Macaca fascicularis: one gene and its partners. The protein of the gene in region 2 purifies or fractionates together with the protein of the main gene of each other region. This does not show direct contact. Links are inferred from orthologs where the notes say so. Each region holds a gene or a part of one and is shown on either strand. Other genes may lie near its edges.

What was found. The genes of interacting proteins can lie anywhere in the genome.
Region 1: the proteins of SRPK2 (region 2) and GTPBP4 purify together in Homo sapiens (affinity purification with mass spectrometry; 3 studies listed by BioGRID and IntAct, with this or other methods). This does not show direct contact. The link is inferred for Macaca fascicularis from reciprocal best matches to the Homo sapiens genes SRPK2 and GTPBP4.
Region 3: the proteins of SRPK2 (region 2) and RBM26 purify together in Homo sapiens (co-immunoprecipitation; 3 studies listed by BioGRID and IntAct, with this or other methods). This does not show direct contact. The link is inferred for Macaca fascicularis from reciprocal best matches to the Homo sapiens genes SRPK2 and RBM26.

Annotation. Positions count from the first base shown.
Region 1 is NC_088383.1:1,341,188-1,345,249, reverse strand, and holds the start of GTPBP4 (GTP-binding protein 4), read right to left. Parts: upstream 2,835-4,062; 5' UTR 2,792-2,834; coding exon 2,744-2,791; intron 1-2,743. UniProt on the Homo sapiens protein: Involved in the biogenesis of the 60S ribosomal subunit. Acts as a TP53 repressor, preventing TP53 stabilization and cell cycle arrest.
Region 2 is NC_088377.1:146,914,785-146,918,999, forward strand, and holds the start of SRPK2 (SRSF protein kinase 2), read right to left. Parts: upstream 2,818-4,215; 5' UTR 2,797-2,817; coding exon 2,670-2,796; intron 2,345-2,669; exon of another isoform or gene 2,228-2,344; coding exon of another isoform or gene 2,212-2,227; intron 2,123-2,211; coding exon 2,068-2,122; intron 1-2,067. UniProt on the Homo sapiens protein: Serine/arginine-rich protein-specific kinase which specifically phosphorylates its substrates at serine residues located in regions rich in arginine/serine dipeptides, known as RS domains and is involved in the phosphorylation of SR splicing factors and the regulation of splicing.
Region 3 is NC_088391.1:70,464,859-70,469,040, forward strand, and holds the start of RBM26 (RNA-binding protein 26), read right to left. Parts: upstream 2,835-4,182; 5' UTR 2,376-2,834; coding exon 2,305-2,375; intron 1-2,304. UniProt on the Homo sapiens protein: May be involved in the turnover of nuclear polyadenylated (pA+) RNA.

The DNA of each region.
Region 1 (4,062 bases), on a different chromosome or scaffold from region 2:
AATTTGATTAACTCAATATCATTTCAAACAAAGGTTGTTAAGGATACTTGGGTGCTGAAGATAATGAACAAGATACTGTCCCTTCCTTCACGGAATTCAGGGTCCAGTGACAGAAGTAAACACGTAGGCACAACACAGTCTGCCAAGTATTATACTATGAGGGGCACGCACCGTCTCCCCTCTGGGTCTACAAGTGAGACAAGTAAACAGGTGGTCACAACAGTCTTCCATGTACTATGAGGGGCACACACGGTCTTCCCTCTGGGCCTACAGAAGTTCTTCCCTACATTTTTCTGCACCTAATGGCGTTCACACATCCTGAAGGGGGACCAGTTCAAAGGTTACCTACTTCATAAGATCGCCCCTGACTCTCCAACTTACCACAGCTAACTGCACTCTTCTCTCCCAATCCATGTGGGTCCTCCATGATAACAATGTTTCATTTCTAGTATGGTCATTCATGATGCCACTTACCCTTTTTTATTTTGTTTTGTTTTGTTTTGTTTGAGACAGAGTCTTGCTCTGTCGCCCAGGCTGAAGTGCAGTGGCAGCACAATCTCCGCTCACTGCAAGCTCCGCCTCCTGGATTCACGCCACTTTCCTGCCTCAGCCTCACCAGCAGCTGGGACTACAGGTGCCTGCCACCACGCTCAGCTAATTTTTTTGTATTTTTAGTAGAGACGGGGTTTCACCGTGTTAGCCAAGATGGTCTCGATCTCCTGACCTTGTGCTCTGCCCGCCTCAGCCTCCCAAAGTGCTGGGATTACAGGCATGAGCCACCGCGCCGGCCTCGACTTACCCCTCTTGACAACGACTTCCAAAGAGGCAGGTATTTTATCTAATGCATTTTTGTAACACAGTACCCAACGCATAGGACAGGCACTCACTTAACAGCTTCTAGAATGAACTGAATACCACACACTTTCCTGATGTGATTTTTTTTTTTTAACTTCCAATCACCAAACAATTACCATCACCCATTTTTTAGGTAAGTAAACTCATGTGTTCTCTAAAAATACAAATCTCATTCCACAGAAGATGGATGGTGTACTAACATATCCTAAAGTTCTCCACATAAGTCAATAACATGAACAAAGTTCATGTAATCCAAAGAGCAAATTCCTTCAACAAACTTGAGAGATGGCTGACCAAAAATACAAATAAGACATGATTCCTGCACTGGAAAATACTACAATCTGGCCGGGCGCGGTAGCTCATGCCTGTAATCCCAACACTTTGGGAGGCTGAGGCAAGTGGATCACTTGAGATCAGGAGTTCAAGACCAGCCTGGCCAACATGGTGAAACTCCATCCTACTGAAAATACAAAAATTAGCCAGGCCTGGTGGCCTGCACCTGTAATCCCAGCTACTCAGGAGGCTGAGGCAGGAGAATCACTTGAATCTGGGAGGCGGAGGCTGCAGTGAGATGAGATCCACCACTGCACTCCAACCTGGGCAACAGAGCGAGACTGCATCTCAAAAAGAAAGAAAGAAAGAAAATACTACAATCTATCAAGAGATGTGTCACAACAATTGTCAGGAAGAAATGAGAAATGGAGAGAAGTGGGGAAACAATTATTGCTATGAAGGTAAAATACGAGACTCCCACAAAGCTTTCCAAGGCAAGCTCATTCCGTTGTTAAGACGTGAAGAAAAGGAGACACTGATGAGAGGAAAACAGTCACTCTGCAGGGACTTCAGTAACTCCCTCTCGTGCAGCAGTCCCTGAGAGGCTCGAGTTGCCCGTCAATGTCTCTGTAATTGCGACCCAAATCGAATGTTCACTACATAAAAACATGACTTCTTAAAAAAGCCGTAATACCAGGGCCGGGTGTGGTGGCTCACGCCAGTAATTCCAGCACTTTGGGAGGCCGGAGCGGGAGTTCGATGGATCTCCAACTCCCTGGGATCTCCCTGGGAGACCTGGGATCAGGAGTTCGAGGCCAGCTTGGCCAACGTGGTGAAACCCCGTCTCTACTAATAACACAAAAATTAGCCGTGCGTGGTGGCGCACGCCTGTAATCCCTGTTACTCGGGAGGCTGAGGCAGGAGAATCGCTTGAACCCGGGAGGTGGAGGTTGCAGTGAGCCTTGATCGCGCTCCAGCCGGGGAAACAAAAGCGGAAAACTCTGTCTCGGGGAAAAAAAAAAAAAAAAAAATTCTAACACTTAACACTTGTTGACTCATTCTTGCCACACTAACCAACGCTGTAAAAATTTAGTCTGGGCCTACTATGGTCTAAAAAGAACAGGAGTTCCCAAATCTAACAGTGAAAGAGAATGACTTAAAAATTAAGAAATGTTAAATCACGATAGCAACGAACCGAGGATTCCTGAGAGGGGAGGGCGCTACGCCAAATCCAGAATCTGAAGGCTCATCACGGACCACGGAGTGCTTCCTCCCTCACATGTTGGGGTCCCCTCCACTCGCCCACCTCGTCACCCGGAGCCCCTCCAGGGAACCCTACTCTGGGTGGACCCCGATCTCTGGGGGCCCTCAGTCTCTGGGTGGACCCCGGTCTCAGGTGGACCCGGGTCTCTGGGGGATCCGATCTCTGGTGGACCCCGGATTCTGCTGGGGGAGGGGAAATGATCTCGAGTACGCGTCCGGCAGGTCGGGCCCGGGAGCGGGTGGTGGGCGAGCGGAAGGCGACCGCTCTCCCACGGCTACAGGCCCGGACCCTCCCCTGAGACCCCGCTAATGAGAAGGCGAAAGTAGCAGTGGCCCTCCCGGAGCCACCTACCTTGGCGGACGGCACCACCGTAATTTTCTTGAAGTTGTAGTGCGCCATGCCGGCTGCCGTATGCACGCGGGTACTGGGCACTCCCGGAACTTCCGCCGTCGGGAGCAGGAGGGACTTCCGCCGTCGGGCGCTTGCTGTACGTCACTTCCGGGAGCCAAACGTGTCTTGCGTGCTCTATGGCGCTTTCGGCGTCGCACAGCGCACCCGCCCGGCCTGGAGGTCCGCCGCGGAGAGTGTGTGAGGGCCCCGGGAGCGAGGGCGCGGGGGAGAGGACGCCTGGGTTTTAGGGGGCGCGCGGAGACTAAATTCATGCTGGGTAAAGAAGAGGCTTCCGACAGACTGCCCTGCGGGTTTCTGGAGCGAGTTCAGGCCCCCAGCCACCCGCCCTGGACCAGGGTTCGAGGGGGGTCTTGGGATTTGGGGGATGCGGGGCTTAGGAGTCCGGAGGGTCGAGGGTATCTGGGAGTCTGGGCGTCCGGGGTCGCGGCGAGCCCCGCGGAGGAGGAGGGAGCCGCGCGTGCGGGGCGTGCCCGGGCTCTGGGTGTAGAGCGGGTGACGCCCCCCACTCTGATCCCGGGCGGTGGTGAGGAGGCCCTCGCGGCTCCCCTGCAGGCTTCCTTTCTCGTGCTTGTTAAATCCCAAAACGGGCGGAGAAGGGAAATCCTGATCTCAGGCGAAAGAGGTGCCGCTGGTTCCGCAGAGTGCCTTAGGAGAGCGGAGGAAGCAGTTGCGAGAGACAGTCCTGTGGGGTCCAACAGAGGAGAAAGGTGATGAGGATGGAGCCTTTACTGCTTTAATGTTTGTGAATAGTGTGGCCGCTCCCTTAAGGAACCCAGGGCCACATCCCGTAAATTAAACGTTAGGTAGGGCTGACTCAGTCAAGCAGTGTTCAGAGCTGTTGACTACATATTAACTCGTTTAATTCCTGCAACTGCCTCATGAAGTGCGTGGGGAAACCCAAGGCACAGCAAGGCCCGAAAGCAGCCCAGGGTTGTGCAGCTAAGGGGCAGCAGAGGTGGGCTTTGAACCCAGGCAGCCTGACTCCAGCAAACCTACTTCTAACGATTAGCTATACTGCTTCTCACGCATCTGGGATGCCCCCCACTCTCCAAACCTTTTAAATAAGTCCTATTATTCTTACACGAAAATACCTCTCATAAATTCCCAACATTCCAATATTGAAAATCATTCTGAGTCATGCTTTTCTCATCTATTAACTATGCTTCCATTTTTGTGTCACAAGGCGGATAAGCATACCTCCTACATCTCTGGCACTTCTAAAGGAAGCTTCTAGGGTAATTAGGATTCGCTGGCTATGA
Region 2 (4,215 bases):
CAACATGGTGAAACCCCGTCTCTACAAAAAATACAAAAAAAATTAGCTAGGCTGGGTGGCGGGTGCCTGTAATCCCAGCTACTCGGGAGGCTAAGGCAGGAGAATCCCTTGAACCCGGGAGGCGGAGGTTGCAGTGAGCCAAGATCCGGCCATTGCACTCCAGCCTGAGCGACAACAGCGAAACTCTGTCTCAAAAAAAAATTAAATAAAATAATGTATTGATTCAAAGAGTTAAGTGAAAAATGGCATTGCCTCAATCAGTTACATAATTGGGCTGGTCCCATTACCTTCAGACTAGAGTCAGTTCGTTTCATTATTAGCTGGTGTGTTATTTTCCCCCTCAAATTCTATCACACATACACAACACACCGTGGGAGAAACTCGCAGATTAATCTGTGAGAGTATAAACTGAGTACTGTGGCTATTCACTAAGTCTTCATAAACATACCACATAAATCCAAACTGCGGCCCACCAAAAAGGCCCTCGACCATTAGGAAAATCACACCCTAACATATGCAAATACAAGACACATACTGACTTAATTAGAACTGTTTTTCTACCTGTACATATAGGTAACATGCACACATACGTGTCTGTTTGTATACACATGCACACATAGCCATCTCCGACACTGGGGTCACACTTTTTCCACTTCTTTTTATGTTTCTGAATATAACAGACTATGTGGAATTAAATCAATGCTTTGAATTCAGAGCTGTGATTAAAACCCAGTACTTATTCAGAATCCTAAACATTACAGTTCCCCGTACCACTGGGTAAACTTCCATGGTTCACCAAAGGAAATCTCAAATTTAAGGTTGTAATTCACTTGAAAGCTAGCACTAATTTTTTTAAACGCATCTAAAGCTACCAAAAATCCAGTCCATTTTAACATCTTATGAATTCAATATCAAATTTTTACCCACCAATTAGTTCTTCAAGTCTTTAAGAAGTGTTTCCCTTTACTCTAATTTTTTTTTTTTTTAGAAAGTTATTTTTAAGTCACTATCCACATTTTGTGAAACTCTGAAGGACCAAGGCCAACGAGAAGGGGAAAAAAGGAAACAACCAAAAATGTTTCTGGATTTTATTAAAGATGATGCTGGACTCTCGTTCCCCATAGTACCAAAGATGTCACACGGAGTATTATTGCTCAAAAGAGCGAAGCAATTAATCTAGAGGAAGAGATAACGATGTTGAACGCTGGTAAATCAAAAGAATAAGGAGAGAGGAGTGGAAAAGGAGAAGACGCGGCGGCGCTGTGCGGTCTCGGAGCAGCTCTCCAGGAAAGGGTTCTCGGGCAGCGGCCCCCCGGCTCGGGTGAGCGGCCAGACTGGAGGTGGCCAGCGCGGGCGCGTTTTCCACTCCGCCCGGCTCCGGCGCACACGCCCACCGCCCCGCGCAGCCCGCGACCCCGGCGCCCGCAGCGCACCCAAGTCACGCTCGACCCGAGCGGAAAGTTTCGAATCCAAACCAGAGAGCCGAAACGCACAGGTCTCGGGGCTGAACTCGCGCCAGGAACACGCCCGAGGCGAACCACTTGACAACCAGCTCCGGTTCTCAGCAGAAAGGCCGACAGGCGGGGGCCGGGGAGGAAGGGGAGGCGAGACACACGCCCTCGCGCACACTCAGCCCCTCCGACTCCTCCGCCCCGGCTCAGGTGGGAGCAGCGCAGCCGCCGCACTCCCGCACCGGGCGGGCCGGAGCCCCTCCCAGAAAGGGCCGCGACCCCCGGGTCAGCTCGCGCGCAGGGGACCGGTGCGCACGCCCCGCCCGGCGCCTCCCCGCCGGCCTCCCGCCCGCCCGCCGGCCAGTGGCGACCCGGGGCGGGAGGGCGCCGAGTCGAGGCTCCGTGATGCTCGGGAACCGGCCGCGGCCCGCGCGCCCCTCCCCCGCCGCCGCCCCTCCCCCCGGGCCGCCCGCGGGGCGCAGGAGCCGAGCGCCGGCGTCCCGGGAGACCAGCCCGCCCCCCGGCCGGAGGACCTGGACAACTTTCCCCTGCGCGGCCGCGGGCGCCCCCGACGGGGCAGGGGTGGGGAACCGGGACAGGCGCAGCGTGGACTCACTTTTTCGGATGTTTCTCTCTTTTCGGCCTCCGCTTTCGGGCCTGAATGGCCAGCACTGGGGGAAGAGAAGACACACATTAACGGTCGGGCCGCCCGCCAGGGCCGGCCGCGTGGCGGGGAGAGGGCGCGCCGCAGGCCACTCACCTTTCCGGGAGCTCATTCCGACGCGGCGGAAGCGGGGCGGGGGGCTTCGCGGCGGCTGCGGCGGCGGCGGCGACGCGGGCGCCGAGACGAGCCGGGCTGCAGCCTCCACTCGCTCCGCCGGCCGGGAGGAGGCGGGAACCGCGCCTGCGCCGCCACCGCCGCCGCTCCAGCAGGGACCCAGCAAGACCCGCCCCTGGCCGGCCCCGCCCCCGCCCCGCCCCCACCCGCCGGCCCCGGGGGTCGGGACCCCGGAGTCGCGCGCCCCGCGCCCCCGCCCCACCCACCTGTGCAGAGGTGGTCGCCGCCCAAGGCCGCGCTGGCCCTCGGCCTCCCCCACCCCAGCCCGCGGCCCGGGCCTCCGCCTCCTGCGCTCCTGCGGCTGGCCCAGGCCGCCCGCCTCTCCTGGGCACCGGACCCGCGGGACCCTCCCTCCCCGCCGCGGCCTCTCCCCTCCGCACCCCGGCCGGTCGCGCAGCCCGGCGCTCCATGCGCCCTTCCTTGGCCGGCGCCTCCGCGGGTCTCGCACCACCTCTCTTCCCGCGGCCTCTTCTCTCCCTTTGCTCCTCTACATCCTTGCATCCCCATGAGCGCCGCTTCCTCCTCTCCGGCGGGCGTGGAAAGGGCACACGACCAAAAGCTGGGAAACCTGGGTCCGCGATTAGCGGTGTGACCTTGGAGAAGTCATTTTCTCTCCCACCTCTACGTGCCCTCCAGGATTGCATGAGTTTAATGAAGGAAAAGATACAGATAGCATTCAAAGTACGACAATGGTTTTGCACATGAATTGAAACCCGGTTCCCTAAACACCATGTGTATAACAATTCAAAACAACAATCACACCAAGTAGTTATTTTCTGCATCCTGCAATGAGCAAACTGAGTCCCAACGAGGTTAAACAGTTTAACCAGCCAGGATCGAAATTCAGGCATGGCTGGCTGTCGACAAACTCCACCTTATCAGGCTGCCTATAAAAGATGTGAACCAAGTTGATAGTGGCACAAAAAGATAACTATAATGTTCCCTTATTTATGTAAATAATTACAATAGTTTTTGAAAGATAAGCATCCTGACCATTAACTCCCTCCTTGGTCACACAACTGTATCTTCAACTGACAAGGTGGCTTACTCTAAGGATGGTAAAACAGACAGTGCAGGAAAAGCTGCTTGGATTTTGAAGAGCCTTTAACTTTTTGTATTCAAAAATATCAAACCTTTATAGAAAAGTTACAAGAAAAATATAATTCACAGCCAAATTAACCCATATTCACCAATTTTTAACATTCTGCCACATTTGCTATGTGTCTGTGTGTATGGTTTATTTTGCTGAATCATTTGAGTTTTTGTAGACACTGTTACCCTTTATCCGTAAATATTTCGGTAAATATCTACTAGGAACAAAGATAATCTCCCATGTAATCAGAATTCCATGATCACTCCAAGAAACTTTCATGCTAATACAATGTAATCATCTGTAACATACAGGCCATATATATTCAATTTTGCAAAATATCTAAGTAATATCCCTTTTCTTTTTTTCCCAATTAGTCTACCATTAAGGATCATCTGTGGCGTTTAATTGTCATGTCTTTTTAAACACCTTTAGAATCATTCTTGGTTTTGGTTTTCTTTTTATTTATTGATTTATTTATTTAGAAATGGAGTCTCACTCCATCATCCAGGCTGGAGTGCAGTGGCGCAATCTCAGCTCACTGCAACCTCAGCCTCCCAGGTCTAAGCAATTCTCCTGCCTCAGCCTCCCGAGTAGCTGGGATTACAGGCATACAGCACCACATCTAGTTAATTTTTGTATTTTCTTTTTTTAGTAGAGACAGGGTTTCACCCTATTGGCCAGGCTGGTCTCAAACTCCTGACCTCAGGTCATTCACCCACCTCAGCCTCCCAAAGTGCTAGGATTATAGGCCTGAGCCTTGACACCCAGCCCTTTTTTTGTGTTGTTTTGTTTTCTTGTTTATAACATTGACTTTTTTGAGGAATCCGATTCCA
Region 3 (4,182 bases), on a different chromosome or scaffold from region 2:
GAAAAATTACAAGCATACACTCTAAGTGGCTACAGTCTTCTCATTTAGGTAAGACGGGGGGATACGGCAGTAAATCTGATATGAAACTGAACGCCTAAAGGAAAGCTATTTCAACCCAAAACATTTATAAGTTTTGTGTTCACCTAATAACTACTGAATGCTAATTACACACCAGGCAGTAGTCTAAGATTTCCTTAATATATATTCATTATTTTCCCAATTTTACAGTTGAGGAAATGGAAGCCCTGAGTTAAGTAACTTACCCAATATCATACAGCTGGTAAGCGGCAGCGGCAGTATTCAAAACCAGACATTCTGCTCCAGAGTTCTTCTCACCCCTATACTATGATGCCCACCCTCCAATACACTGAAATAGGGCTTCCATCTGCACAACTCCACTCCAGTCAAACTATTTTGCTAAGGTTACCAACGACTTCCACTTTGCTACATCTAAGGGCCACCTATTTGCCTACATTTTTTCACGCATTCTGCAGCATTTCATAAACTCCTCTCTTTTGTCACACACTTGTTCTTTAATGACATAAAGCCCAGTTTTCCTCCTGCCTCAGTACTAGGTCCTCTTCTCTTCCCTATCTACACATTTTTCGTAGGAAATTTCCCACAATGTCATGGTTTTAAATACCATCTGCATGACTCCAGATTTCTCCAGTCCTGAGTTCTAGACTCATACATTCAATGATCTCACACTTAGATGTATCCCACAGACTTCATACTTACTGTATTTATTATCAAAACTAGCCAACCCCTTTCCTTCTCTCCTTAACCTGTTCTCTGCCTTCTCTACTATAAACCATTCAGTTGCTTGGTTTATCTAAGGCGATCATCACCCTTGATTTCCCTTTCCCTCATCTCCCACATTTAATCCATTAATTTTACTTACGAAATGTATTTGGATCTGCCTGTCTCCACCATCACTCTAATGCAAACTAGCCACATCTCTGCCTACAATAAATTCTAATGCAAACTAGCCACATCTCTGCCTACAATACCCTTCTGAATAGTCTCCTTACTTCCATTCTTGTCCTCTCAGTCGCTACAAAATAGGCAGACTAAAAACAAAATTAAATCAGTCCTTGTCTGCTTTAAATCATCTCACATCTTCCCATACATGATGTGGCCCCTACCTACTTGTCCAACTTCTCTTACATTCTCTCCCTCATCACAAGGCTCCTTGCAGCCACAATGGCCTTTCTCTTCCTGAAACACACCACAATTACTTCTGCTACAGCGCCTTTCATTTGCTCTTCCTTTTGCAAGAAACGTTCTTTTCCAAGACTTTGACACAGATGGTCCCTTCTCTTCTTTAGATGTTGCTCCAATGTCACCTTCTCTGAGAGTCCTTCCTTGACCAATGTGAAGTAGCCTCCCTCATAATCACTCTTTTACATGATTATTAAAATAGTCACAGCTCTATTAATATCTGGATTTATCTCTTGTCAATTTTAGAATTTAAAAGCTCTATCCCCAAAGCCTCCCGTAGTACATAGTAGGTACCTAATAACTTCATTAAATGCGTGAATTTTCCTCATTGCATTATAAATCAACCAATTCTGATAAAGCACTTGGTCCATGTTATATTTAGTATTAACAAGTCGTGAAAACACTCCTTAAATTTTCCAATCTAAGACTATTTCAGCACTCTAAGGCCCCCCCAACACAAAGTCTATCTATAGCATCCCACTTAAAACTGCTAAATATTCCATATGTATGAAGATTCAATTTTCTTTCTCCTCTCCAAGCTAACGAACGTGTAGGCGGGAAAGGGGAATTTTACTGGCCACCTCAGCACCTGTTACATCTTCAATCAGTGAAGAGAGGTGCAGATGAGCCAGACAGCACATGGGAGACGTGGCCTTGCTTTCAGGAATTGTATTTAGGTGAAACGTGAGTGATTTAAGCTAGAACTGCCCGAATCCCTAATAAAGGCCGTCTACTTCATTTAGAAAAACAAGGTAAAATAGTCTGTAGGAAGGAAAATACAGTCGGTTTCACTAAAAACCGATTTTGAGGCCCTCGGAAAATATTGGGGGTGGGGGGTTGGAATCGGTCTACATATAACGGGAAAACGAGACCAGCTCAGCAATAAAATAAAACTCGAGTCAGGCTCTTGGGGGTATCTTGAACCTAGAAGCGAGGTGGACGAGGAGGAAAAGCCACAGAGCCCTGGGACCTCCGTTCACCGCTTCGGCCTCCACCGTGGGCGCTCGGGGAAACCGCACAGATCTGTGGATCCGCCTATCTCCCACTGCCATCCCTGCAGAGAGATATCCCCCGGATACTCACATGGGCTCGAGAGTCTTGCTGAGCCAGGACTTGAGTGCCTCGAAGTTTTCAATGATCATTTTAGAAACCATCCACAGCGGCCCTAAGGCCCGTCACACTCCTCCGCCCGCCCAGGTCGCAGCCGCTACAGCCGCCGCTGCCCCCGCCCCCTCCTCCGCGCGCCGCCCGCGTGGGCCGCGGTGGGAGGCGCCGGTGGCAGGTTCCCGCGGGCCCCGGTCGGTGAACAGCTCTGCAAGGACCGCCGCAGGCCGCAAATCCACGGGATGCCAGGAGCTCCCCGTCCCCGGACCCTGGCCCGGGCTGAAGCAGCAACGGTTTGCCCGGGCCCTCCCCCTTCCCTCTTCCCCAGCAAATCTACCCAGACCGGAAGCGCGACACGCGCTTAGACCCAGGCGTTCTCTCGGCCTCGGGACCAGGTGCTTGTTGGCTACGTCGAAAAGGCAAAAGTAAAGAAAGCGAAGGCGAAGGGCAGCTCAATGGGAACGATTCAGGGGGTCTTCCTGCCTCCCAGCACCCCCAAGAAGATGGCTGCCGATAAATCTCGCGATAATTGATGAAGTCTCGCGGTGGTTCCTGGAGCCTGCTGGGAAGAGACGTAAGGTCGGCGGAGAATGCGCGGGTCGAGTGCTGTAGTTCGGTTTTTGAGTGTGTGCTTTGCTTGCGGCCTTTGTGCCTTTTTATTCTTTGCTTATCTTTATGATATAAAGAACTTATTTCTTACAAGGAGGGAGTCCTAGCTCGTCCCCGAGCTAGAACTTCAGAAACAGCGGGAGCCCTAGCTCGTCCCCGGTAAGACGGCCGTGGCCTGTCAGCTGGAACGGATCTGCCGGATGGATCGCTTGTTGAGAGCGTACACACCCGCGTGCGCGACACCAGGCGGCCCGTAGGTTCCAGGTGCAGAGCGCGCTTCCTCGTCAATTTACCCAAGTGCCCTACCAGTACCATATTCTGTGTATGCTGTGATGTGAACGAGGTTTATAAATACAGGCTGGTCTAATGGAGTCCAACGAGACCGCCAGATGATTAGTGCCTTGTCCAACAGTACTCGACTTGTTGGTAGAGCCCTAATGACTCAGGGATGCTCCAAGGGAAAGGTGAGAGAACCTTCACGTCTCTCAGGTAGTTTCCAGCCTGCACTTTCCCCCAGATAAAGATAAGTTTTGTTATTTTTAAAATGCTCTTTATTTAGAGCAAATTCAGCCCTATCTCACATCGGGAGATTATATAGTATCAAAAAAGAGAGTCTTCATATCAGCAACCCAAATAAACTCTTTTCCTGGGTGATCAAATAAGTTTGATTCCTGCTTGAGTTCTATTTAGATACTAGGTGGAATTTTACGAAGCGTCTACGTTCCATGAACTGTAGTGGAATGAAAATATTCACAGTCTAAAGACATTTTCAGTAAGGAGATCAATGAAAGCTCTTTATGAGAGACACCGGTAGGCTAAATTGTTCTTAGAAACTCTGAGTTTATAATTTGCTAGAGTGAAGTCTCCTCAAGGATTAAGTGGAAAGATTATGAACTACAAAGCAAGACATTTGTTTTAAAATACAGCATATAGAGTAGAATACAAATTAGAATCCAGCTACTGAATAACCAGGGTGTTGATTAAAGTGATTTAGCTAAGTGAAATAAACCAGACATGAAAGGACAAATATTATGATTCTACTTACATTAAGTATCTAGAGTAGTCAAAACTTCTAGAGACAGAAGCTGGAAAGGTAGCAAGAGCAGGGGTGGAGAGGGTGCCCAGGAGAAGGGGAAATGAGGAGTTATTTTTCAGTGAATAATAGAGTTTCAGTTTAGGATGATTTAGATTCTGGAGATGAGTGGTGGTGTGTGGGTTGCACAATATGAATGTACTTAATGCAGTGGA